Linked DNA regions of Xenopus tropicalis. The protein of the gene in region 1 interacts with the protein of each later gene in a biochemical or structural test. Links are inferred from orthologs where the notes say so. Each region holds a gene or a part of one and is shown in the gene's direction. Other genes may lie near its edges. The genes, in order: snta1, mcm7, slc2a3, scn5a, slc16a7, gucy1a2 and wwtr1.

Region 1 (3,500 bases):
ATCTCCCTCTCTCTTATTGGCTGAGGAATGTCCCATGCTGTTATATTGGTTTGTTTGGGAGGGGGGACACTGCCGGGACTGCCTTTCCTCCCTGCCCCCCAACACCTACTCTCCCTGCAGCACAAAGGAGCGTGGGAAATTTAAGGGACATGATATAGTGTATATTCATGTACCAGAATATTATAGGAATCTTGCATTTTGGAACTTCTTAAGACTTTTAAAGGGGAAGTTAAGCTTGAAATTAATTTTGTTCTGGTTTTATTGCATTGGCATTATAGGCAAAGTCTGAACGCTGAATGTTTTTGTTGGAAAAATGGAGGGTCCGGACTCCGTTTGTGGCGGGCTGCTCACTCAGCCTTACTCTGTCACATAACTGCTAATCCTAAAATAGCAGCGGCTTGCATGTCAGATTTAGCTGAAGCCTGTTGCTGTCTTTCTAAAGGGTCAGCCGCTTGTAGGAAATGATCAAGGACTCACAGTATCCTGGGGCAGAGAGTTGCAGGAAAAATGTATTGGCCTGTGAATGGTGAATGAAAACCTGCCCAACCAATATCTGCCTGCAGATCAGCTGGTTAAAAAATCAGGTGATGACTGCATTGGCATATTGATACCGTTCTCTCCCAGCAGGTCCCCTGAGGCGCTATTTAGGGTCACATTGTTGGGATGGTGGCCAAATCAGGCACAGATCTACTGGTTTGCATAGCAAGCTTTAGGTCCAAACTTTTCTAACGGCAGTGACATGTTTATGGGCTCAGTCCCCCCTAGGCCCAAAGTGTACTAATAGCAGTGCCATGTTTATGGGCTCAGCCCCCCCTAGGCCCAAAGTGTACTAATGGCAGTGCCATGTTTATGGGCTCAGTCCCCCCTAGGCCCAAAGTGTACTAATTGCAGTGTCATGTTTATGGGCTCAGTCCCCCCTAGGCCCAAAGTGTACTAATGGCAGTGCCATGTTTATGGGCTCAGTCCCCCCTAGGCCCAAAGTGTACTAATGGCAGTGCCATGTTTATGGGCTCAGTCCCCCCTAGGCCCAAAGTGTACTAATGGCAGTGCCATGTTTATGGGCTCAGTCCCCCCTAGGCCCAAAGTGTACTAATGGCAGTGCCATGTTTATGGGCTCAGTCCCCCCTAGGCCCAAAGTGTACTAATGGCAGTGACATGTTTATGGGCTCAGTCCCCCCTAGGCCCAAAGTGTACTAATGGCAGTGCCATGTTTATGGGCTCGGTCCCCCCTAGGCCCAAAGTGTACTAATGGCAGTGCCATGTTTATGGGCTCAGTCCCCCCTAGGCCCAAAGTGTACTAATGGCAGTGCCATGTTTATGGGCTCAGTCCCCCCTAGGCCCAAAGTGTACTAATGGCAGTGCCATGTTTATGGGCTCAGTCCCCCCTAGGCCCAAAGTGTACTAATGGCAGTGCCATGTTTATGGGCTCAGTCCCCCCTAGGCCCAAAGTGTACTAATGGCAGTGCCATGTTTATGGGCTCAGTTCCTGTATAGATATTCCCCTGTACTAAGCACAATTCAGCATTAAAACAAATAAGGGTACAGTAGCCCTTTAAGACCATTTACGCTTTAGGCTAGAGTATTACAGAGAAAATAAATTCTTTGGCAAAGGTTGAACTGGGCTGCTATTTCCCTGGAGTTTGTGGAGTCATCTGAAAATGTCTGTTTCTTACATTTTAGAAATGCAGAATTAGAAACAGATGAAAGTGTGACTGGAAAAGGAATATTATTTTTTGCAGATGCTTCTATACATGTAAATGAAAACTCAATCAGAACTTCAGTATGTAACATTAGCCAACATGCAACTGGCATAAAGTACAGGCTGCTTTGTGCCCCATTGCATTGCACTCTCCATAGAGTATGGCCCAAGGAGTAGCCATTGCCTGTATACACGCCTTACGTGTATTGGGGTGCAACGTGTCACTGCCATACCATTTATCTAGGATTGGATGATTTTTTTCCTCTAGTTTAAGTTATGTATTGAAGGAACAGTTCCATACCAATAGATTAATCGACATCTTTTTGTTTACAAGGTGGCCGGGAGAACAAGATGCCCATCCTCATCTCCAAGATTTTCAAAGGCCTGGCTGCTGACTTGACAGGGTCATTATATGTGGGGGATGCAATCCTGTCTGTTAATGGGGTAGACCTGTCAGAGGCTACTCATGATGATGCTGTGCAGGCTCTGAAGAAGACTGGAAAGGAGGTGGTGCTGGAAGGTGAGTAATAAAGGGAGGTTTATATGGAGCAATATGAGGAGTTATAGGGAGGGGTATATGGAGCAATAGGAGGAGTTATAGGGAGGGGTATATGGAGCAATAGGAGGAGTTATAGGGAGGTTTATATGGAGCAATATGAGGAGGTATAGGGAGGGGTATATGGAGCAATAGGAGGAGTTATAGGGAGGGGTATATGGAGCAATAGGAGGAGTTATAGGGAGGGGTATATGGAGCAATAGGAGGAGTTATAGGGAGGGTTATATAGAGCAATATGAGGAGGTATAGGGAGGGGTATATGGAGCAATAGGAGGAGTTATAGGGAGGGGTATATGGAGCAATAAGAGGAGTTATAGGGAGGGGTATATGGAGCAATAGGAGGAGTTATAGGGAGGGGTATATGGAGCAGTAGAAGGAATTATAGGGAGGGGTATATGGAGCAATAGGAGGAGTTATAGGGAGGGGTATATTGAGCAATAGGAGGAGTTATAGGGAGGGGTATATGGAGCAATAGGAGGAGTTATAGGGAGGGGTATATGGAGCAATAGGAGGAGTTATAGGGAGGGGTATATGGAGTAATAGGAGGAGTTATAGGTACAGACTGGGCTTCCAGTCGAATCTATATGAAGTGGGTATAATTAGCACTGTGAGACAGAGTTATAAGAACGGCTGTGCCAGTTACAGAATAACATTTGGGTTAGTTACTAGTTATTGGGTGCCAGTGTATAGATAAACATACTGCTTCAGTTTAACTCTTCCCCATTTCTTCTGTTGAACAAGAATTTTTTCCTGCTTTTCATGGTTCCCGCACAGCTGTTGAGGGGACTGTGCACATTCCAGGGAATCTGGGAGGGGAACGTGGGAGGCATCACTGCAAGGGGAGCAGAGACACGGAGTGAAAGTGCTTATTTTGTACTTACACCGGCCAATTTCCAATCTGACACTGTGGGATCCATTTACTAATAACCGATGTAAACCCATTATGAGTTTTGGTTGAAGGTTAAGCCACATCTAGAGAGGAAATAATAAATCAGGGGTGTTGGAGGGTCCTGTACCTGTTGGAAAATAACAGCTGGGTGGTCACAGGCTAGACAACAGGTGTAGGGCTACAAGCTAAACCCCCTTTTATGTATCTAGTACAATAATAAAACATTATTGCTTTAGAGTTTAAACATTTTATGAATACCTGCTCAATCCTACTTTAATGTTATAGACCTGAAATGCAGAAAGAAATGACCAAACCTGCTCAGCATTAATGGCTGCTCACTTGGGCAAAAATCTAAC
Region 2 (3,500 bases), on another chromosome or scaffold:
AAATGTTGTGTATATAAGAATCTGTTAACTGTACAAAAGTCCTACAGAAAAGAATATAACCTGTACCTGACTAATCCCTATATTATCAGGCTAATATTGCTCACAGAGAGCAGGTTGCGCTGTACATCGATCTGGATGACCTGGCCGAGGAGGACCCCGAGTTAGTGGATGCAATCTGTGAAAACACAAGGAGGTACACAAACCTGTTTGCTGATGCCGTTCAGGAGCTGCTGCCCCAGTATAAAGAGCGAGAGGTGAGTTGTTCTGCCCCCAATAAGGGGTAATTATATCTTAGTTGGGATCAAGTACAGGTACTGTTTTATTATTACAGAGAAAAGGGAATCATTTAACCATGAAATAAACCCAATAGGGCTGTTCTGCCCCCAATAAGGGGTAATTATATCTTAGTTGGGATCAAGTACAGGTACTGTTTTATTATTACAGAGAAAAGGGAATCATTTAACCATTAAATAAACCCAATAGGGCTGTTCTGCCCCAATAAGGGGTAATTATATCTTAGTTGGGATCAAGTACAGGTACTGTTTTATTATTACAGAGAAAAGGGAATCATTTAACCATGAAATAAACCCAATAGGGCTGTTCTGCCCCCAATAAGGGGTAATTATATCTTAGTTGGGATCAAGTACAGGTACTGTTTTATTATTACAGAGAAAAGGGAATCATTTAACCATGAAATAAACCCAATAGGGCTGTTCTGCCCCCAATAGGGGGTAATTATATCTTAGTTGGGATCAAGTACAGGTACTGTTTTATTATTACAGAGAAAGGAAATCCTTTTTAAAATGTAAATGATTTGATTAAAATGGAGTCTATGGGAGATGGCCTTTCTGCAATTCTAACTTTCTGAATAATGGGTTTTCAGCTAAGGGGTCCGTTACCTGTACATTTGCTTTGGCTTTCTACTAGATACTATATTTCTATAGGATGTGAAGCCTGGCCAGAGTAAATAATCCACACCAATGGGATGGTGTATTTAGCCACAGACTTCACATAGTGAGGCATACAAACTACAATACAAGAAGTAACAATATGATACTGTATAACTGTAAATACTCTGATGCATTCATCTGTTAAAGGTAACATTATCCATCAACAAAGTCCTTATTTCAAATATGGAAGTCCCTATTTCTCTGCCTTCTCAGGGGGACACAGGGAACGTATGGGGGTTAAGCTCCACCCTCCAGGAGGCAGGACACTTGATTAACAAATTAAAGGGGCGTGCCCGTTGCCAGATTTACCCCTCCGCTGTACCCAATCCAATCAGTTTTTCAAGTGTCCTGCTGCCAGGAGGATGGACAGCTAGGTCCCAAGTGAGACCTAATATGAACACTTCGATCAGGGCCTATTGGGTAATGCCGGCAGCTAGCACGCCCCTTTAATTTGTTAATCAAGTGTCCTGCCTCTTGGAGGGTGGCGCTTAACCCCGTACGTTCCCTGTGTCCCCCCCTATCGACGGATTTAACAGTGAGTAACAAAAATCCTATTATATAAAGCTTTGTTCTTATTGCTCAGTTTATCAGAAACAGAAATGGAAGCCCATTCATAACTTTGTAGTCTTTCATGGGAAATCCATCCTGGTCCTAATACAGTAGTTGCAATGTGAATTAAATGCATCATTTCTGTTTTAGGGAAGAATAATCTCGGCTACTATTCTTTCCTGCTGTAGGTGGTACATAAAGATGCTTTGGATGTGTATATTGAGCACCGCTTAATGATGGAGCAGAGAGGCCGAGACCCCAGTGAGACCCGTGATCCTCACAACCAGTACCCCCCAGAGCTTATGCGCAGATTGTAAGTACCATTCACTGGCCCAGTTGGTGGTTGGTTTTAATGACATTAATAATAATCTAAAACCGCGTCCCTGTGTTCTATGCAGCGAACTGTACTTCAAAGCTCCGAGCAGCTCAAAAGCCCGCGTGGTGCGAGATGTCAAAGCCGATTCCATCGGCAAGTTGGTTACAGTTCGGGGCATAGTCACGAGGGTCACAGAAGTCAAGCCTATGATGGTGGTGGCAACGTACACATGTGACCAGTGTGGTGCCGAGACCTACCAACCGGTGAGTGTCGCTAATTTATAATTTCACTTGTAGAATTCCATTGTTTCCAACAGAGTTTGTTGATTCTCACCGGTTTGATTTTTCTTACAGATTCAATCTCCAACTTTTATGCCGCTTATAATGTGTCCCAGCAGGGAGTGTCAGACAAACCGCTCTGGGGGCAGGCTCTACTTGCAGACCCGGGGCTCTAAATTTATTAAGTTCCAAGAGCTGAAGATTCAAGAACATGTGAGTAGCTGAAATTTAAAGCAATACTGACATGGGATGGGGATAAACCCATCAGTTAATAGAGCTTCTCCAGCAGAATCCTGCATTGTAATCTGTTTTTCCCATGGGGCTAGCCATATCCTTCATTTCCCTGGGTGGCACGGTCACGTGACCTGTGCTTTGATAAACTTCACTCACACTTTACTGCTGCGCTGCAAGTTGGAGTGATATCCCCCCCCCCCTCACCCCCAGCAACCGATCAGCAGAACAATGGGAAGGGAGCAAGATAGCAGCTCCCAGTAGGTATCAGAATAGCACTCAATAGTAAGAAATCCAAGTCCGGCTTGGGACTCCTCCAGTTACATGGGAGTAGGAGAAACAATAGGTTAGCTGAAAGCAGTTCTAATGTGTAGCGCTGGCTGAAAGCTCAGACTCAGGCACACTTTACTGCTGCGCTGCAAGTTGGAGTGATGAGAGTAAATGTATACAATGCAGATATTAAGTCTTCCAACCCTCTCTCTCAATAGAGTGATCAAGTTCCAGTTGGGAACATCCCTCGCTGTATGTCTGTGTATGTACGTGGGGAGAACACGCGGCTCGCTCAGCCCGGGGACCATGTCAGTATCACTGGAGTCTTCCTGCCGATGCTAAGAACTGGCTTCCGTCAGGTGGTACAGGTAATAAACAATTTACAGTTATTACAATTCATCATTCTAGCTCAGCAGCTTCCTTATATTGCTGTGAGGTGGGATTACCCTTTAGCGGGTTTTATGTACAGGTTTCTGTGTGAGTAAATGTAAACAAGAACAGCAATTCCTATATAATATTCCTATTTTATGATCAATTTTGTACTGTGGGGAGTGCCCGGCCGCGGCTACCTAAGCATTTGTTTGAAGGACAAGTCAACCCAGAATATATTTTTTTGCCTTATAAAAAAAACTTAATTCTAAGCAATATACATTCCTTACAAACTTGTAATGGTTTTTGAGTTATAACTGTATAATTTTGGGGTTCACTGGTGATTTGTGTGGTTTTTCCTACAGGGGCTCCTTTCAGAGACGTACCTCGAATCTCACCGTTTGGTGAAAATGAACAAGACCGAGGATGATGAACTCGGAACAGAAGAGCTGAGTGAAGAGGAGCTGCGACAGATTACTGGTAAGCAGATGAGGAGTCCCTGTATGGAAGAACTGACTTCTCTAGGTTATAGACTAT
Region 3 (4,210 bases), on another chromosome or scaffold:
GCTGTTCTGCCCCCAATAAGGGGTAATTATATCTTAGTTGGGATCAAATACAGGTACTGTTTTATTATTACAGAGAAAAGGGAATCATTTAACCATGAAATAAACCCAATAGGGCTGTTCTGCCCCCAATAAGGGGTAATTATATCTTAGTTGGGATCAAGTACAGGTACTGTTTTATTATTACAGAGAAAAGGGAATCATTTAACCATTAAATAAACCCAATAGGGCTGTTCTGCCCCAATAAGGGGTAATTATATCTTAGTTGGGATCAAGTACAGGTACTGTTTTATTATTACAGAGAAAAGGGAATCATTTAACCATTAAATAAACCCAATAGGGCTGTTCTGCCCCAATAAGGGGTAATTATATCTTAGTTGGGATCAAGTACAGGTACTGTTTTATTATTACAGAGAAAAGGGAATCATTTAACCATTAAATAAACCCAATAGGGCTGTTCTGCCCCAATAAGGGGTAATTATATTTTAGTTGGGATCAAGTACAGGTACTGTTTTATTATTACAGATTGATTATGGGAGATGGCCTTTCTGTCATTCTGAGCTTTCTGGATACCAGGTTTCCAGATAACAGATCCCATACCTGTATCTATGCCACATGGCTCTGGTCACTATGGATAGCCTTCCCTGGTGCGCTGTCTGTTTACCTGGTAACAAATATAACCCCAAGCAGTCAGTAAATGTTAGTGATAATATTGCCGGTGCCCATGGGGTTACCCTGCCGGCCCCTCTCCCCGTGCTGCTCCCCATGATGAGGCCGCGCCAGTATTCTCTCCCTGAGTCACTGAGCACAGATGGAGATACGTTCAGCCTTACACGCACGGCCTTCCCTCTTCTATCAAATGTTTTGCCTATTCAGTCACAAAATGATTCATAGGCTCCAAAACCCAAAGGGTTGGGGTAGTTTTTAGTCACTGTTGTGCTCTATTGTGATTTTGTGGAATTCCCGTAATATCTTTTTACTTTGACATACACTTATTGGAAACTTATGAATTCTGTGAACACAAAACTTTTATAGCCACAAAATGATGTTTTTCCACTGAAGAATAATTTTCAGTGTTGTTAAGAATTCTATATTCACATAAAATAAATACCGGGAGCACAAAAATAATGTAAAAGTAGCCGCAAAATGATATTTTTTTGTTATATTATTATTATTAACATTTATTTATAAAGCGCCAACATATTCTGCAGCGCTGTACAATAAGTACAAGATTATTTTTTGTATTCATGGAGTGAACATACATTAAGTTAAATATCGTTACATAGTTAAGTTGGGTTGAACTATACACTTGCATATATATCTATATATACTGTATATACCAATATCTATACTAATTGTAAATTTTAGTATTTTAGATATTTAGTATTTAGATATTATGCCTTGTAGATTGAAGCCTTGGCAATTGTTGGATATCAGTCGCCCAGTCCGACCCTGCCCATCTAATCAATGGCCATGGGAAAGAAAGCAGCCCAGGAACAGGAGGTGCAGAAGATAAGAGCTTTGTGTTTAGTCGATATAATATTTGGTACCTTGGGAATTAGGTGTATAATTAGCAATGCAGTACTCCTCACATCCCCCTAATGGCGCTGTTCCTGTACTCTCTCTCATTTCAGGGCAGAATAACTTGCTCGCTGGTCTTTGCTGTTTGTGTGGCAGCCATTGGCTCCCTGCAGTTTGGATACAACACCGGGGTGATCAATGCGCCTGAGAAGGTGAGAATTCAAGTTTAATAGTAAAAATTCCTCATGAAGACACTTATTTGGCAAATTAAAAGTGTAATTAGTGTTGGTGTGTGGTGCTCGGGAGAAACAATAAGAGTGGAGGAGCCAGTTATTCCAACTCTGGGGGTCATTACATTTACTGAATGTCTGGTCTTTTCAGATCATCAAGTCATTTTATAATGGCACATACGAGCACCGCTATGGGAAGGAAATCTCGGAAAGTCTCCTCACATCCCTGTGGTCTTTATCCGTGGCCATCTTCTCTGTTGGGGGGATGGTGGGCTCCCTCTCAGTGGGCTTCTTTGCAAACCGTTTCGGAAGGTAAGATGGCTTTCATTTGACATGGGCCACCAGCTTCAGAGGGGCCTCTTGGGTGAAAAAGTACATGGACAAAGAGGTTGCCTTGCCTTGGACTTGTGTTAATAGAGCCATAGGTGCCAAGGTTGGGCAGATCATGAGCTTTCTTCAGGAATTTGCTTAGTAAAAAAATATAATAATGTCCACGCAATTATGTGGTGGTCTTGTACACTGCACCTACTAATATGTAAGCTCCCTATAGAGCAGCAGTTGGAAGAGTGACAGATAGCAGGCATAATAGGGGATATTGTGACAGCAGGGAAAGATGGCGAAAGAAGGGTAAGATGGTGGCTTTAGCACTTTATGGTAATGTGGCATTCCCTTGGGCCGTTATTTAGACATAAGGGCACGGCTATACACACTGAGTCTATTAATATGTCAGCTACTCAGCTCCCTTGTTGGAAGAGACAGGGATAACAAGCATATTAGGCAACATGGCAACTCTTGGGGAAGGAGGAGACACGGAGGGTAGATGGCGTTAGAAGGACAAAATGGCAACAGAAAGGCATAATATGAAAACTTTTAGTATAATATGGGTTACTAGACCTGGGGCATGCGTTGCATCAGGTCTGGTAATCCTCAGGAACCAACTGGCAGGTAGTCTTTGCTGGTCAACTGTATGAAAGGTTGCCAAGGGTTACAAGGCCTTATGCAAACTTGTAAGTTTTATTTAATAATTTACATCAGTGTTGTCTAATCTGTGTCCCTTAACCCATCAAACGCCCATTTGCCTGACCTTGAGGCCTTACTTTCTGTTTAGAGATGTGGGACACCTAAAATGGATTCTGTATGTATTAATCCTATGTGCATTATTAACCTATCTCTTAGGAGAAATGCCATGCTGCTTGTGAATGTGGCTGCCATAGTCGGAGGGGTTTTCATGGGTTTCTCAAAACTGGCCTGGTCCCCAGAGATGCTCATCATTGGACGTTTCATTATTGGGATCTTCTGTGGGCTCTGTACTGGCCTGGTACCAATGTATATTGGGGAACTGGCGCCCACCTCTCTTCGTGGAGCTCTGGGAACCCTGAATCAGCTGGGCATCGTGGTGGGGATTTTGGTGGCACAGGTTAGTATACGGCTTTGGGGATGGAGAATGTTGTTCTTTTGTGGATTAAAGGCTAAATTAACTCATTAAGAAGCTTTATATCTATCATTTAAATTTGGATTTTTTGCTTATATCTTTGCCATTCTCTAGATTTTTGGCCTAGAGTTTATCCTTGGATCTGAGACCCTTTGGCCTCTGCTGTTAGGCCTCACCGTTTTCCTGTCCATCATCCAATGCGTGCTTCTACCCTTCTGTCCAGAAAGCCCTCGATACCTGCTCATTGTTAAGAAAGAAGATGAAAAAGCTGAGAGGAGTAAGTATGGGGATACACTCAACATACACCCCCAAATCTTGCTCTGTCTGACTTTGAGCCTGGGCTTCAAGGAACACGTAGGAAAGCAAGGAGAGTAGGGAGACTAATACCAAACGTAAGAAAAGATGGAATAACAGTTTTACCCCCTCCCATTGTGCATTGCTGTAAAGTCACATGATGCATTTCTTCGGCTAGTTCTTCGGAAACTGCGTGGCACTACAGACGTGGCCAGTGATGTCCAAGAGATGAAGGATGAGAGTGCTAGGACGGCAGCAGAAAAATCAGTGTCTATCCTAGAAATCTTCCGCTCCAGCCAGTACCGGCAGCCAATAACAATCGCCATCATCCTCCAACTTTCTCAGCAACTGTCTGGGATCAATGCTGTACGTAACTATAAACCCCTATGAACATTCTATTATACCCCAAGTATCCTTTGTTAGATGCCCTCTCTGCATTCCAATTCTCTCTTCCTTCTTACCCTTCTACTGTAATTGTAACTATAATTGTTATTAGACTGCAAAATAACTGATAAAGTAACCTGGGTCCATTACCCCTGGGTAAGTGAATCCAGTCTTCTCCAAGTACTCACCCCGGTACTGATCTCTCATTCGCTGTACTTTCAGCTTCTGGGGCTGCTCTTTCCCATGATCAGGTTTCACCTACCTAGGTTATGTTCCTATGGGTGCAACTACAAATGGGTCTCCCCTCAGGGGTGTCCAACCTGTACGAGTTTGAACACTAAAGGCTATAAAA
Region 4 (3,971 bases), on another chromosome or scaffold:
GGCTGTGGGATAGCAGGTATAGTAGGGAGAGATGGCGCCTATAGTAGCAGTGGGGGGATGATAGCCTCTGGGAAGGGACTGGGGCTGTGGGATAGCAGGTATAGTAGGGAGATATGGTGCCTATAGTAGCAGTGGGGGGATAATAGCCTCTGGGAAGGGACTGGGGCTGTGGGATAGCAGGTATAGTAGGGAGAGATGGTGCCTATAGTAGCAGTGGGGGGATAATAGCCTCTGGGAAGGGACTGGGGCTGTGGGATAGCAGGTATAGTAGGGAGAGATGGTGCCTATAGTAGCAGTGGGGGGATAATAGCCTCTGGGAAGGGACTGGGGCTGTGGGATAGCAGGTATAGTAGGGAGAGATGGTGCCTATAGTAGCAGTGGGGGGATAATTTACCTTTCTATAAAGTTTTAGTAGATTGGCCTATTCAATCCTTATTATTTTTTTTTATATTGGATGAGGTTTCATTATTGACCTTCTATGTCTGCCTCATTTCTACCTGCAATTAAAAAATTATCCCAGCAAGAACGAATAAACAAACAAACAAATAAATAAATGAATAATGCTAATCTTTATATTCAGGCCCTCGGCTATTCTTCCTAGTTGCTGAGCAGTTGAGCCCTAGCAACGAGATTGCTGTTAGAATTCCAAGCGTCACAGCTGCACAAGAAAAAATGTAAATATAAAAAAACTACAAAATAAGAGATAGAATCACCTCTACCTCTTATTAAGCTTATACTACCCCTTTAGGGGGTTAAATAATGGAATAATAGATGAGGGCACATTATTTTAGATTTGGAGTTTAAATTCTAACATCTCTCGTAAAACCTAATACATAAAGAGACATTCACCTAAAATTAACCCTGACTGTGCTGTAATGATTTATTTTTGTTTCTAGGGAGATTTATAAAACTCTTGCTGTTTAGTCATGATAATCGTCTGGTTCCTTAAGGCAAATGATGGCAAAATCACTGCACATTGATTATAAAAAGAGTTAATCGGATTGAAAGAGCACGAAATCTGCGCAGCGCTGGATTCCATTCCGAGCGTATTCAGCCTGCCGCTAGGTGGCGCTAACGATCCAGCGTTTGTACGTGCACAGTTGCTTATGGGAGGTTCGTATAAGGGAGTGACTGGCTGGGGAATATTGCAGCCACATCCCTTTCAGTGGAGAGTGCTCCCTGTTGTGCTTATTATGAAGACAACATGCTAGAGATCGCACCTGCCCCAGGCTTTGCATTGGCAGGTGGAAGCAATTCTCTTTGTATTTCTCTGGAGCCCACAGTAAGGTGCAGCTAGATCAGCTCCCACAGTGCCAGAAAGGGAATCTCAGCTGGAGCAAATACTTTGCAAGACTCTTGCTTTTCCATGAAACTTTCAGCTTCTTGGATGCTAACTTTGGAGCTGCCTCTGCGTTACTACCTGACCACAGGAGAGGAGAAACCAGCTGGACCAGCCTGCCTGGGAGTTTCACTGTGATTTTAATAATGATTTTATGGCTTTTCCCCAGAAAGGATTAGACTTCCAGTTTGGGACCAGCTATTAACATTTCATTTGCCTTTTTAATCTGAATTTGCATTCAGCAAACCCTATTGCGCAGAACAGGAGGGCTCTTTGCTCCTTGGTGGATCTCAGCCTACTTTGGCTAAGTGTGCAGTTGTGGTGGAGCAGCTGGGTGGGAAGGTGGAGGTGGCTTGGCTGGGTTTTAGGGCTTGCACAGTCATGAATCTCTTGGCCACATTCCTGTCCTGACACTATCACAGGACCCCGAGGCTTGGAGGGAACATGGAATTCCAAGAGAACTGAAGAGGGTTTGACTTGGTCCTCCCAGTGAGTGCTGGGGGCAGCTGCTTGCCTGGTTGACTGAGGAGTGGTTTTACCTTGAGACCAGTTGTGAACTGCTAGTCAGACTGGACACATCCCAGAGCCTCAATCTCAGCAAACCCTCTGCAGGTAATTAAACGCTTCACCCTTGCCTACAACTTCACCCCCTTGGAATACCTAAACTTGCCCCCCTTTTATTTTCCTTCTTGCTTTTTTCTTTTTTTCAATATTCACTACTCCTATTCAGCTTTGGCAAAATTCAGCAGCTGGAGGTGGGGGGGTTTGGCGTATTCCCCACTTCTTGTGCCTCCCACAAATAACAACGGGAGCTGAGTTTTTAATTGGACTGAGATTTAGGGGGGGGGGGGAGAGCAGAACCATCGGTGGAGTTTAATCCCCCTGAATTTAACCGCAGTTCTGGGGACCTGGGAGTCATAACTGTTGCGGACAGCTCTCCAGCGCTGTAAGTATCCCCCAGACTTGGCATGTGTCTAACCCTGTGTGCTGGGAACGCGCTGCATGGCTTCGCCTCCTGAATCAAATTCATTTATTTACCTTCTAGCTGAGTGTGTGTGCCAGACATCTGCTTCCTATTGTACATTTAGTAACCAGATACCCAGACTTGCGCCCACAACTCTCAGCCCTTATTGCCCCGTCTACTGAATTCAACCGGGGGTGCGAGCAACAAATTTCTTCATTTGGGTTTAAACCCTTTGTTTGGATTCAGTATTTGATTTATTGTAAATTTTTATTTTAGTTTGGAAATCTTGGCATGCTGAAAATGGCTACGGCTAGATTGGCTTTTACAGCTTTGTAATGGGGTACTGTATATACTGTATGTATATTATATTCACACACACATTTATACAGGGAAAAGTTGCGCACACTGCATTGCACATATGTGTGCTTTTGTATGTATAATATAATATATATTGATATATTTACATCAATTTACTACTAATTTACTATACATTTGGGAAAAAAATTATTTTTTCTTAAACAACAGTACGGTTGACTGCTTAGGGCCCTGCCAATAATGGGGCCCCACGGAGCAGCAGCTGTAGGTAGGAGTGTGTGTTGGCGGTGGACAGCAGGTATAGTTGGGCAAGATGAAGACAGAAGGGCAACATGGCGGGCATAATACTTTCTATTACTGTTTCCCAGCCTTCAAGCGCTCAGTTGTGGAAGAAGTTGTAGTTTAACAACAGCTAAGGAGGCTGCAGGTTGCCCTACATTCTATATAAATAACAGGTTGCAGAAAGTCTTTTTTACCCAGGGCCCTGCTGCTGCTACTAAAGACATCACGGGAGATTGATAAGATTAAGGCTGATTGCTGAGTACCATTTAGGACTAGAGAAACCTGTTCAGACGGGGAGTGACGGGTCTGCGGGGCGTTAGAACTAAGAGTATCGCAGCCGCCTTATCTGATAAATACAGTAAATCCAGTACAGTGGGGGGGATTGGGGTATATTAATACAGTTGAAAGACTGGGGTAAATCAAATTTGGAGGACTCGGGTAAATTTTGTACAGTTTGACAATTTTGGCTAGCCAAGTAAAGTTGGAGGACTGGGGTTAATCCAGGACATTTGGAGTTTGGGGTATATCAACTACAGTTGGAGGACTGGGATAATTTGATACAGTTGGGGGACTGGGGTAAATCCAGAACAGCTGGACAATTTGGGTAAACCAAGTACATTTGTAGGGCTGGGGTAAAATAGTACAGTTGAAGGAGGAGGGTGAATCCAGAGTTACAGCATTAGGGTAAATCTAGTACATTTATAGGACTTTTGTAAATCCAGTAGTTAAAGTGTTGGGGTAAATCCAGTACCATGGGGAAGAATTGGGGTAAAATAGTACAGTTAGAGGAGTGGGGTAAATTAGTACAGTTAGAGAATTGGGGTAAAATAGTACAGTTAGAGGAGTGTGGTAAATTAGTACAGTTAGAGAATTGGGGTAAAATAGTACAGTTAGAGGAGTGTGGTAAATTAGTACAGTTAGAGAATCGGGGTAAAATAGTACAGTTAGAGAATCGGGGTAAAATAGTACAGTTAGAGAATCGGGGTAAAATAGTACAGTTAGAGAATCGGGGTAAAATAGTACAGTTAGAGAATTGGGGTAAAATAGTACAGTTAGAGAATTGGGGTAAAT
Region 5 (3,993 bases), on another chromosome or scaffold:
GGTTCCCAACCTTCCTAATGCTGTGACACTTTAATACAGTTCCTCATGTTGTGGTGACCCCCAACCATAAAGGAGCATTGTCTCAGTTCCCAAGACCATTGGAAATATATGTTTTCTGATGGTCTTAGTCGACTCCTGTGAAAGGGTCGTTCGACACCAAAAGGGGTCCCAAACCACAGGTTGAGATCTGCTGCTCTAGCTGTTAGTCCCCACTCAGTTTATTGGTCTTAGATGGATTGTCTAAGTGTGGGTGGGGAAGAGGCGTAGGCAACCTTTCTGTCTTTGGTGAGGTTCCCATTGGTCTCAGGATATCATATGACTTCTAACAGTATATTAGGTAGGATAGGTAAATGCCAGAAGCCTGGAGTAAGGAAGGCCCCAGTGAAGTGGGAGATGGGGGAAGAGGGACCCTGTGACTAGCCAGTGGTAGGTTAGATCCTACATAGGGTCATTTTAGGAGCAAAAGATAGAACTATTTAGTAAGAGGTAAGACAGGATAAGGTCAAAACAAAGTGCAGGATCAAGGAAACTAAGCCAAAATAGGTAACAGGGCTATGAGCAGTAACAAGGACTACAAACAAAGTCACAGCTAGAAACATGATCAGAATCAGGATTCAAGTATTGAAGGATCTCGGGGAACAAGACATATCACAAGCAAGGACAAAGTGCAGGACTGGGCTTTATTAAGGCACACACAGAGGGAGATGTCATACAACAAACAGCACCAGCTGGTTAATGCAGTGTAGCTGAGCGTAATTAGCAAAACTAGAAACATAGACTGAAGTGACAAGTCTCAAGTACAATTAACTGAACAAGATACAGCCTGACTCTTTAGCCCAGAGCAAAAAAGCAAAAGGTTCAAATCCACCTATGGATAGTTCCCAGGACCAGATTACAGGGTGCATGTTATTGCAGTCATAAAACCACTTGCCATCTAGTTGAAAATCACCTAGACAGGGTTTGGATTACTTTTATAATAATCCTACTGTCCTAATTTCTTCATGATTACTTTTACATTACTATCAAATTACCTCAGTGCAAATATTTATATCATCTAGGGCAGTGTTGTTTTTATATATGTTTGTCCTCATTATGAACGTCTCTGAACTCTTTCCCCGTTTATTTTATGACGATGAAACTTAATAAGAGTACTGTTTCATTTATTTATATATATATTTTCTCTTTTACAGAAAGTTTTTGAAAAATGCCCGACATACCAGTGACTCTACAGTACACTCCCCCAGATGGAGGCTGGGGATGGGTTGTGGTCTTTGGGTCATTTATTTCAATTGGATTTTCTTATGCATTTCCTAAAGCCATTACAGTATTCTTCAAGGAAATCCAAGAGATATTCAATACCTCATATAGTGAAATTGCTTGGATATCATCAATTATGTTGGCTGTCATGTATGCAGGAGGTAAGGAATTTTAAGTTATTCAATTATGGTGTTTTCAAGCTATTCACCTTTGTAAAATATATAAGTTAATTATATTTTATTTGTATCATTGAGAAATATATCATTTAAAAATATAATCATATTTAAGACAGAAAAACAAACAAACTGGGCACATTTACACATGCAAAAAAATATAATCACTAACAGGTTTCTGTATATTGGAGCCCATACTTGTACATAAATCAAGATATCTACTTGGAATCTTCAAAACATTTCACACTGAAAAATGACATTGTATAAGGACCAGTTCTAAGCAACATACTATTCTGCTTCTTTCCAGCTTGCAAATGAAAATGCTATCTGTTAGTCATTTTCACTGACCCCTAGCAAGCATTTAGTTTAAATTCCAAGCCTGAAAGCTGCAAATATATATACAACTTTTTAATTAAAGAAAACATGGAGTTTAAGAAATAAAGACTATTCACAAACATAATTCTGCTGAAAACATCATACAAAATCTTAATTTAATTTACAAAATCTTAATCTAAATGTAAACAGCCCCTTTGATATTGGCATAATATATGTATATAATAACTGTTGTTTCCTTTTAGTTTTGCAACCTTTTTTGTGCTAAAGGTCAATACTCTAGGTGAAACTGTTCTTTTCTTTCAATGTAATAATAAATATACTGATCATTTGACAGCACATGTGCTCTACATATTAAATATATGTTGTACTGACATAATTTTAAAATTAAAGAGGAACTGAAAAAAAGCCTAGTTCAGTGCTGGTGCTATGCTGCACTGCAGCTCCAAAAAACACTTTCTCTGCATGCAGGAATTACACACTGCCATGTTAATGCCTATATTTTCTGTTCACAGAGACTCATCATAATTTGCCCATATTGAAAAAACAAAAATACTACTGTCTACTTTTCCTTCTGTCTTGCGTGTTGCCTGTTCCCTGTTTTGTAGGGTTGAGTCCTATCTATCCTAATTTCCATATTAATGATGTTCCAGCTAGTAAAAACCAGAAGATAGTAATTTATATTTTGTGCACTTTACTGCTAGTAGCAGTGTCCTTTGCAAGTAAGCCGAGTCTTTGTAGTACAACGGCAACTTTTTTTTATTTTTTAAGACATATCCTCTAGACTTCTCGAATACATTTATATTCGAGAAGTCATATATAGAATATCATGTCAGGGGTGTTTTGGCCGCTAGTGCTGCCCCTCCGCACAGGGCCACCATCATGGGGGGACAGTTCTCCCAGGTCCAGTAAGTTATTGGTCTTAAGGGAATGCTGGCCATACTTTACTCCTTTATCCCGGTTCGGGCCACCAGTACTATCAGTGAGCTGCAGACTCAGAATGGGAGGGTGAAGTTGGGGCCCCTGCATTTTCTTTGCCCTACACAGCTCTCTATACTGCTCATTTTTTCCGCAGTAATTAAGTCCCGGCGGAGCTGCATGGGGATTGGATAGGCATGGGAAAAAGTTCAGCTTCCAGTCCCATGTGGCTCTACTAGGACTTAAGCAGTGGAGATTGGAGAATAGAATGGCACAGGGGGGATGCTGGGGAACATTGGAAAAATTGACATGGGATCAGGGCCAGATTTGATAGCCCGGCGCCCTGAGGCCGCCCCCTTTCTCTAATTTTGATGCATCAGCTGCAATTGTGAGTGCAACAATGCCGGAACTCATGGAAGAATTGCTACATCATGGAAATAATATGGCAATTGTGCCAGTAAATTTACCCCTGAAAAGAATGGCATTGACAGCATGAGCATCACATATCAACCATCAATAATGTCACTGATTGGGCCCTGGGCTGTGTCATTTACAGGCTTATGTGTATACATTTTAGGGTTCAATTATTTATTTTTTAAACCAATAGAGCCCCTGGCCACCAATGGTTTTTGTATTTGTAACCATTAGGATCCTTGCAGGGCCCATATAATTTTGTTGTAATGGTGGCCCTGCCTCCATATTTAGGTTTTTTGCATCAAAGAGGGCTGAGGGAGAGCCACATTGCTAGCGCAGAAAGCAGAAAAAAAAATGAAATTTCAGCTCTTGAAGTTACCAGGAGCGGCTTTTTGCCACCTCTTCAGCCTAAGGACAGTTACGTGTCCCTGCTTAATGTTCTTAATATATTGATATGAGACAGGGCAGAGGATTTATTATCTCTTTTTCTCACTTGAAATTTCTTACTGCAATTTTCTCTGGCACAAAGATGTCTGCTGAATGATATTACTAACACCATTCAAAAATGCATGCTGGTTTGAATATATCTTGCCAGAGTTGTTTAGGAGTGAAAATGCCAGTGTCAAAAGACAACAAAAAAAAATCTGTGACTTGTTTTATCTGCTTGTTTTAGTTCAATCTAAGAAGCATTCTGCCAGGAACAGGGGCCAATTGCCCTTTTTGAGGGTTTAGTTGGCACCAGGGAGAGAGCCAAAGTTGAGCACATGCAGGACAGGTGCCTGACAATCGGGAACAAGAGACTTTGTAAACAGACATACAAATGGCTGGTAAAAGTTTAAGGTACTTCACACAAGGGATAGTAGAGTCCAGATCAGAATTACCAGAAGCAGGATGAAAA
Region 6 (4,127 bases), on another chromosome or scaffold:
AGACATGTCGGTGTATATGAGGGATGAAGAGATAGACATGTCGGTGTATATGAGGGATGATGAGAGAGACATGTCAGTGTATATGAGGGATGAAGAGAGAGACATGTCGGTGTATATGAGGGATGAAGAGACAGACATGTCGGTGTATATGAGGGATGAAGAGAGAGACATGTCGGTGTATATGAGGGATGAAGAGAGAGACATGTCGGTGTATATGAGGGATGAAGAGACAGACATGTCGGTGTATATGAGGGATGAAGAGACAGACATGTCGGTGTATATGAGGGATGAAGAGAGAGACATGTCGGTGTATATGAGGGATGAAGAGAGAGACATGTGGGTGTATATGAGGGATGAAGAGAGAGACATGTCGGTGTATATGAGGGATGAAGAGAGAGACATGTGGGTGTGTATATGAGGGATGATGATACTGACCTGTCACAGAATGTGTGGTGAAGGACATGGAAGCTAAAAGTCAGCTAGTTTATAACAGGGGATGATGGGATAAACATGTTATTGTACTTGAGGGGAAATATCAGGAAGCTGGGATAATCTGTCAGTATATAATAGAGGATGATGGGATAAACATGTCGGTGTATATGAGGGATGATGGGATAGACATGTTAATGTATATGTGGGATGGTGTGACAGACATATCACAGTATAAATGAGGGATTATGGGATAGACACGTTACTGTATATGAGAGATAATGGCATACAAATGTCAGTGTTTATATGGGAATGCTGGGACAGAGAGGCTAGGGCATATGGAAGATGGTGGTAAAGACCTGGACATATGTTTTGCATGCAACGTGTGGAGATGGGGCATAAGGAGCATACCACTGTGTGAGAGAGGGGGGGCTGGGAAAGGAAAGGCACTAGAGCTGATGCTCACTGTGTATATGTAAGGCTGCCAGTGTATGGCTGAGGGGGAAGAGTTGCGCCTGTGTATATAACAGGACATATGCATGGCCTATGTGCCCCTTTGCATTCTCACAGTAATTATATCTCCCAGCTGCAATCCATCAGCCGCTTCTCTCCGGCCGGAGCAAAGGAAGCGCAGTGTCCCCCCTCCCTCACGCTAACTCCTGGGAAAGTGCGTCCCGCTTTGCCAATGGGTTTGGGTGACAGGCAGGAGAGCCCCCGGCAGGAACACGTGATGCACTGAGCAGCGGAGAGATACGCAGCCGGGAAGGCACAGACAGGGAGGATGAGAGAGGGAAGCGCAGCCTCTTTTAAAAGACAGAGGGAAAGGGAAGAGGCGCCACACAGCACGGTGCTGCCCAGAGAGTCACTGCCGCTGCTGCACACACACAGGGGAGAGAGACAAAAGGAAGGGCTGCTGCTGAGGGGGGGGATCCCAGGCACAGTGCGTGTATATAAATGAGAAGGTGGAACCCTGACAGGAGACTGAGAGGCTCACTTCCCCGGCATGAGCAGTGTTGCTAGAGCCTGACGGAGCCGCACAGCCCTGCATCTCATGCGGTTCCTTTACCCAGCAGCCTCAGCAGCATGTCCAGGAGGAAGATCTCATCGGAATCGTTCAGCTCGCTGGGGTCGGACTACCTTGAGACCAGCCCGGAGGAGGATGCTGAATGCCCTTTAGCCCGGCTGTGCTGGAATGGCAGCAGGAGCCCACCTCAAGAGCAGCACCCTCAGCCGGTCATTGGACCCAAGAGGGCAACCAGGAGGAGACGGGTCAATCTGGACTCTCTGGGGGAGAGTATCCGGAAACTGACCTCCCCTACGGTAAAGCCTCATTCACTTGCCCGGGGACCGGGGGTGGGTGGGGGGGAGCTTCCATCTCTCCTGGTATCCAGGCACCCAGGCAGGAGATTCCTTTGCACCCCCACTGGGGACAGGGCAGCCTTCCCCTGCTGCAACCAATGGCATTGGGCTACCCTGGCCCTGGGGCATATGCTCATTACTGCCCTGGCCCTGGGGCATATGCTCATTACTGCCCTGGCCCTGGGGCATATGCTCATTACTGCCCTGGCCCTGGGGCAAATGCTCATTACTACCCTGGCCCTGGGGCATATGCTCATTACTGCCCTGGCCCTGGGGCATATGCTGATTACTGCCCTGGCCCTGGGGCATATGCTCATTACTGCCCTGGCTCTGGGGCATATGCTCATTACTGCCCTAGCTCTGGGGCATATGCCCATTACTGCCCTGGCTCTGGGGCATATGCTCATTACTGCCCTGGCCCTGGGGCATATGCTCCTTACTGCCCTGGCACTGGGGCATATGCTCCTTACTGCCCTGGCCCTGGGGCATATGCTCCTTACTGCCCTGGCACTGGGGCATATGCTCATTACTGCCCTGGCCCTGGGGCATATGCTCATTACTGCCCTGGCCCTGGGGCATATGCTCATTACTGCCCTGGCACCCACTGGCATTTACCTAGAGCTCTTACACTTTGCTGTGAGTAGGCGGGTATGGCTATTGTACCCCCAGCTGGGGTTGAATTAAAGTTCCCAGCATCCTTATTGGGTTAGGGGTCTGTGTGTGTGTGGTGGCTATGGGCATTCATATAGAGATCCATTCAGCATTAACCAGTATAATTAATTAAAGGGAGTTTATATATATATACTAGAAATTTTAAATATGTAATAACACTAGATAGGTAACTAAGTAGTGTACCTGTAATTCCCAATAAACATCAGTAAGGTGTATGTACATATATATATTAGGATACGGACAGGAATGCTATTCACATATGAATGCCAGCATTATTGCCTCCATTGATTGCAGTTAACGCTCTGCATAGCACATTAAATGATGTCTGTATTGGTAGCAGGCATGTCTCTGGGTTTAACCTCACCAGTGCTGGAGAGAAGAAGCTTTGTGCTGCAGTTGGCAGTTTATGGCAGATGCTCTAGGTTGCTAAGGGGTTAAATGCCAAGGCTGTAGATGATATCACAATGGGCGATGGGGAGAGTTAGGCACATCTGCACAGGGTGCGTGGGCAAAATGCAGAGCGAGGAGAGATACACGGAGGCGCTTGGCTAAGGAGTTCTGTTAAAGGCTCTTATTGGCATAAGAACATAAGAAGTAAAATCCCAAATGTTAACAAAGTTAAATGGGGGCCCTGGGAATTGCAAAAGGCTGGGGTTCCCTACCTAAGGGCAAATAGAGATATATATTCTACATACACTTTTTTCTCGCAAATGTGTCTGACTAGATCGTTTTATTACATTTAAAGGGAAGTGCTGCAGGGATCTATTCAAACCCTATCTGTCCTGCCCTGTACGTGCTTCCTGGTTTGTGAGAGGTGGTGTGGTCAGCTTACCCAAATGGCCCCTGTGATTCTGGGGCCCCCATGCTAAAAGGCACAGGCAACACTACATTACTGAGAGTTTGTGCACAATGTGTGTAATGTGCAAATGGCAAGGGATTGGGTATGCTGTTAGCACTGTAATGAAACCAAATGGCAAGGGAACATGCCTGTGTGCCTGAGATACTACCAGACCGAGCAGTAGGTTCATTCTGAGCTCCATCCTCACGTGAATGTGGCACCAGAATGAAACAGGGAAATGAGAATTTGGTGGGGGATCTGTAAATGGCAGTGAGGTGTTGGGGTGAGAATGAGGCCATGTATTGCCATTCCCCTCTGGCTTCATAGACAAGGAACATGTTAAGTGATGCTGAAAGAAATAATTGAAACAGAGAGTTTAGCTCATTCCTAAATCCTTGACAATTCGGCCTTTGCAGCAGTCGGGCAAGAGGGAAATGCCGTAGCCTTCTATGTTACATAACAGCCAGTATAGCCCCTGTTATCAGTTGCTTTAGGATGTGCAAACCCAGTATCCAGAATGTTAAAACATGGCAATGCCGTTCACTGCTTAACGTTTAAACATTTATTCATTTTTCCCTAATTTTCTGTTCTTCTCTAATAATAAAACATTGCCTTTTATGCCAATATACAACAATACCTGAAAAAGAACTCTAGCCCTTAAGCAGTTTACAGACCAAAGCCTACAAGCCAAGTCTGGCCTCAGGTTGCCTATAAGTAACCAGATTTTTTCCCTCTTGGCAAGGGCTCATTAAGAAGACTAATTATAAAATAAACAAGTTTGCCAGTGTAACAGTTAAGGTGTATGTGCGGTTTTGTGTAGCAGCCATTT
Region 7 (3,500 bases), on another chromosome or scaffold:
ATTAGTTTAAGCAGACTGTGATTGTCTATTGTTGTGACTTACATGAAGATCAGATCACATTTTATGACCAATTTCTGCAGAAATCCATATAATTCCAAAGGGTTCACATACTTTTTCTTGCAACTGTAGATTCCTAGTCAAGAGAAATATAGAGGCCATCAGAGGCAATCAGTATTTGCTATGATTGGCCACAGAGGGAATAGCCATTGGGAGCTTATGGGATGTGATAATGCTCATTTCCATATTTTGAAGTAGTAATCATGGGCCAATGGCTATGCGTGATGCTTTCTGTTTGTTGTATTTAGTGGGGAGTGCCCCAATGACAATGATCACTGTAACTTTTCCAAGAAAAATATGTTCAAAATGCTGCATTCATTGTTGTAAGGGAAATGTATACCTTTATAACCTTGTAGTGAAATAGAAGTTAATTTCTTCTTTTTTACACCTAATGCCAATTACAAAGGGGAAGGTTACTTTTATTTAACACTGTAGCTTACATATCTAGGGCACTCCCATAGGTGATGTTTCAGCATTTTCAAATTTAAACTGCTCAGAAATATATGGCTGGGATTAGCCAAGGATCAGGCAGTAGGCTTCCAAAGTGGGTGGCCTAGGGACAAGTATGTGCATAATACTTCCTTGTTGCCTTAACTACAATGTAACTCTACCATGACAGTTTGTTAATTAGTATATTTGTAAGATAGGGTTATTTTTAAAATGTAATCCAAAGGTCTGTGCTCATCAGCCTGTGTGAAATTCTGTTTTCATGTTTTTTTTAGTTTTGTTTCTTGTCTGGAATGAGCTTTTCTTAAATTGATTTTATTCAGACGAAATGATGGACCTTTTTGCTTTGCAAATACATCTTTATGGACTGTGATTGATAAAGCGGGGCCCATGGTTTGCTAGAATAACCTGATTTTCTTTCCGACAATGAGAGGCAAACCTGCAGGCCCAGCCTTGGCCATAAATATATATCCCCGTACATTCTAGCATGCCATCAATATATATTGGTGGTTCAAGCAAATCATTAATAGAGTTTGCCGTGATGCTTTAGGTGCATGCTTTCACTGCAATCCTGCTTTTCTGTTTATTTACAGTGATGAACCATCCCCAACAAATAACTTCCAGCCCTGCCATACCTCAACAGAACCATCCGACCCAGAATCCTCAAGCAGCGCTAATCAATTTGCCCAATGCTCTTACCACCCAGCAACAGCAGCAACAGAAACTTCGGCTTCAACGGATCCAGATGGAGAGAGAGAGAATCCGGATGCGTCAGGAGGAGCTGCTGAGACAGGTAATTATCAATAAACAACCATGGTTGTGTAATAGTTATAGGTACTTGTGCCTTAAACCACTGGACAAGAAGATCCTTGGAACATTGGCCAGGGTCTCTCTTGCTACACCAGTCAGTTGCTGAATGTTTTAGGGTTAGGGACTTTGATGATTTTGGAAGGGGAAGGGTATTCATATCTTTAGTGCTTTTTATTACTATTGTGTATGTACCGTGCAAGGATGGCTGTATTTAGCAAATGTCTTGATACCATAGTATGATGGTTCAGGCTGGTATGTCCTTAAAGGAACAGTTCAGTGTAAAAATGAAACTGGTAAATGGATAGATTGCGCAAAATAAAAGATGTTTGCAATATAGTTAGTTATTATTTAGGCAAAAATGTAATGTATAAAGGCTGGAGTGGGCAGGTGTCTAACAAAACAGCCAGAATTCTACTTCCTGCTTTCAGCTTTCTAACCTCTTAGTTAGTCAGTGACTTTAGGGGGGGGGGGCACATGGTACATAACTGCTCAGTTAGTTTGTGAGCATGCAGGTCAGATTCAAATACAGACTAACTGAACAGTTATGTCCCATATGCCCCCCCTCAAGTCAGTGATTGGCTACTGACTGCTAACAGCTTAGAGAGCTGAAAGCAGGAAGTAAAGTTCTGGCCATTAGGTTAGACAACTGCCCACTCCAGCCTTTAAAGATTACATTTTTGTCTAACTATATTAGAAATTTTGCTCATTCTATTTTTACACTGAACTGTTCCTTTAAAAGCTGTAGCCTCAGTCTATTTGCCCCCCATAAATCACAGAGAGGGCTTGTCCTATTTTTAGGTCCCTGCCTGTTATACACTCAAATTCAGAGATTATTCATGGGAATAATTGTTAATAAAACAGTTGGATATTTCTACACATAGCACATGCCCCAGACATTCCTTTCTTTGTGCCAAGCATATGGGCATATTATTTTCTAGGCAGTGGGCTTTTGTTTTGCTTTTTATTTTCATTGTCTTTGGGTGCTGGGCTGAAAGTAAAATGCTGGGAGTTTGGGGGACATTGTAGTGCTAATATGCCTGATCACAAAGGAAGGCATGCTGTCTTAAATGGAATGGGTGCATTCTGATGTCATGCATGTTAAGATGTCATCAAAATGGCAGTTGGCTGGCTCAGACCAGCAATGAGTTCTTTTATGTCCATTCTCGAGTGTAATAGTGTGATGAAACTGTTCTTTGGATGTCATTGCAGTTGTGCTTAATAGAGATTTCAGTGAACCAAACCTTTGTTTTAAAAGAGTTGTTGGGCTATTGGAATATGTTGGTCAGTAATGGAATCTGAAAGCTGCTTAATCCATGTCAAGGGCAGCTCTTACCACACAAACAATTTGCTGTAGCAATGGAGACATTTATTATGGACATTGTGCTTCTTTTACAATAAAGGGTTTAGGTTCTCCTTAAAATACATTTATAATACTGCATCCACACCAGTGGTTTTCTTCTGCAATACTGCTGCAATACTGTTGTATTGGCTCTGAGTTGTAGTTCAGCAATAGCTGGAGGCCCACAGCTAGAAATGACTGATCCAAAGAGTAGAGCAGACAGTCCACCCCCCGTGATGTATTGACTGCAAGAACTATGCAGTTCCTCCGCTAATCTTTCAACCCTCTATTGTTTCCTTTAATGCGACCTGGACAGAGAAGAAAATGCTGACTTAATGCTGCTTGTCGTTGCTGAGCAACAGGAACAAGATTGAAGGGCTTGGGTGAAAGGGTGTGGAATTTTTTTGGCAGGTCTCCTAACTCCACTTTTAACCTGACAGCAGTCACTAAGTGGCAATCCAGCAATTCCAGACCTGACAGCTGCTTGGTTTGCAACAGACACACCCAGCAGAGAGAGAATATCAGTTTCAGGGAGGTTTCCTATTGGGGTTTACATCTTACAAGGTGAAACTGGGGGAACCTCTGGCAGCCAATTACATTTTAGCAAATACTATTTATGTACAAAGTAGTTTGTATTTGTCTTATTTCTAGGTGGATTTTCATATTATACCAACAAGATCATTGACTCCTGATCATGGCAAGACTGGGGCAGGAACTGATTTGAATGATTATATATATCAGTGCTAAATAAGGAAAGGAAAATAATGATAGGTAGGCAATAGCAAATCTACTACAGATCCTGATCTCTAATCTGATTGGTTGTCCCAGCCATCAGTTTGGCTACTGT

Evidence for each region.
Region 2: the proteins of snta1 (region 1) and mcm7 interact in a test that uses a peptide from one of them, tested with the Homo sapiens proteins (2 studies listed by BioGRID and IntAct). The link is inferred for Xenopus tropicalis from reciprocal best matches to the Homo sapiens genes SNTA1 and MCM7.
Region 3: the proteins of snta1 (region 1) and slc2a3 interact in a test that uses a peptide from one of them, tested with the Homo sapiens proteins (2 studies listed by BioGRID and IntAct). The link is inferred for Xenopus tropicalis from reciprocal best matches to the Homo sapiens genes SNTA1 and SLC2A3.
Region 4: the proteins of snta1 (region 1) and scn5a interact in a test that uses a peptide from one of them, tested with the Homo sapiens proteins (2 studies listed by BioGRID and IntAct). The link is inferred for Xenopus tropicalis from reciprocal best matches to the Homo sapiens genes SNTA1 and SCN5A.
Region 5: the proteins of snta1 (region 1) and slc16a7 interact in a test that uses a peptide from one of them, tested with the Homo sapiens proteins (3 studies listed by BioGRID and IntAct, with this or other methods). The link is inferred for Xenopus tropicalis from reciprocal best matches to the Homo sapiens genes SNTA1 and SLC16A7.
Region 6: the proteins of snta1 (region 1) and gucy1a2 interact in a test that uses a peptide from one of them, tested with the Homo sapiens proteins (3 studies listed by BioGRID and IntAct, with this or other methods). The link is inferred for Xenopus tropicalis from reciprocal best matches to the Homo sapiens genes SNTA1 and GUCY1A2.
Region 7: the proteins of snta1 (region 1) and wwtr1 interact in a test that uses a peptide from one of them, tested with the Homo sapiens proteins (2 studies listed by IntAct, with this or other methods). The link is inferred for Xenopus tropicalis from reciprocal best matches to the Homo sapiens genes SNTA1 and WWTR1.

Annotation. Positions count from the first base shown.
Region 1 is NC_030686.2:41,872,652-41,876,151, forward strand, and holds part of snta1 (alpha-1-syntrophin), read left to right. Parts: intron 1-2,033; coding exon 2,034-2,219; intron 2,220-3,500. UniProt on the Homo sapiens protein: Adapter protein that binds to and probably organizes the subcellular localization of a variety of membrane proteins. May link various receptors to the actin cytoskeleton and the extracellular matrix via the dystrophin glycoprotein complex.
Region 2 is NC_030679.2:144,214,356-144,217,855, forward strand, and holds part of mcm7 (DNA replication licensing factor mcm7), read left to right. Parts: intron 1-89; coding exon 90-254; intron 255-1,687; coding exon 1,688-1,812; intron 1,813-1,897; coding exon 1,898-2,078; intron 2,079-2,168; coding exon 2,169-2,306; intron 2,307-2,812; coding exon 2,813-2,962; intron 2,963-3,328; coding exon 3,329-3,443; intron 3,444-3,500. UniProt on the Homo sapiens protein: Acts as a component of the MCM2-7 complex (MCM complex) which is the replicative helicase essential for 'once per cell cycle' DNA replication initiation and elongation in eukaryotic cells.
Region 3 is NC_030683.2:9,034,582-9,038,791, reverse strand, and holds the start of slc2a3 (solute carrier family 2, facilitated glucose transporter member 3), read left to right. Parts: upstream 1-1,410; 5' UTR 1,411-1,464; coding exon 1,465-1,500; intron 1,501-1,631; coding exon 1,632-1,730; intron 1,731-1,899; coding exon 1,900-2,060; intron 2,061-2,924; coding exon 2,925-3,165; intron 3,166-3,294; coding exon 3,295-3,457; intron 3,458-3,652; coding exon 3,653-3,840; intron 3,841-4,210. UniProt on the Homo sapiens protein: Facilitative glucose transporter. Can also mediate the uptake of various other monosaccharides across the cell membrane. Mediates the uptake of glucose, 2-deoxyglucose, galactose, mannose, xylose and fucose, and probably also dehydroascorbate.
Region 4 is NC_030682.2:13,453,950-13,457,920, forward strand, and holds the start of scn5a (sodium channel protein type 5 subunit alpha), read left to right. Parts: upstream 1-1,171; 5' UTR 1,172-1,951; intron 1,952-1,958; exon of another isoform or gene 1,959-2,285; intron 2,286-3,971. UniProt on the Homo sapiens protein: Pore-forming subunit of Nav1.5, a voltage-gated sodium (Nav) channel that directly mediates the depolarizing phase of action potentials in excitable membranes.
Region 5 is NC_030679.2:63,069,974-63,073,966, reverse strand, and holds the start of slc16a7 (monocarboxylate transporter 2), read left to right. Parts: upstream 1-1,193; 5' UTR 1,194-1,204; coding exon 1,205-1,418; intron 1,419-3,993. UniProt on the Homo sapiens protein: Proton-coupled monocarboxylate symporter. Catalyzes the rapid transport across the plasma membrane of monocarboxylates such as L-lactate, pyruvate and ketone bodies, acetoacetate, beta-hydroxybutyrate and acetate.
Region 6 is NC_030678.2:160,343,831-160,347,957, forward strand, and holds the start of gucy1a2 (guanylate cyclase soluble subunit alpha-2), read left to right. Parts: upstream 1-1,327; 5' UTR 1,328-1,512; coding exon 1,513-1,749; intron 1,750-4,127. UniProt on the Homo sapiens protein: Has guanylyl cyclase on binding to the beta-1 subunit. Isoform 2 acts as a negative regulator of guanylyl cyclase activity as it forms non-functional heterodimers with the beta subunits.
Region 7 is NC_030681.2:122,384,473-122,387,972, reverse strand, and holds part of wwtr1 (WW domain-containing transcription regulator protein 1), read left to right. Parts: intron 1-1,097; coding exon 1,098-1,297; intron 1,298-3,500. UniProt on the Homo sapiens protein: Transcriptional coactivator which acts as a downstream regulatory target in the Hippo signaling pathway that plays a pivotal role in organ size control and tumor suppression by restricting proliferation and promoting apoptosis.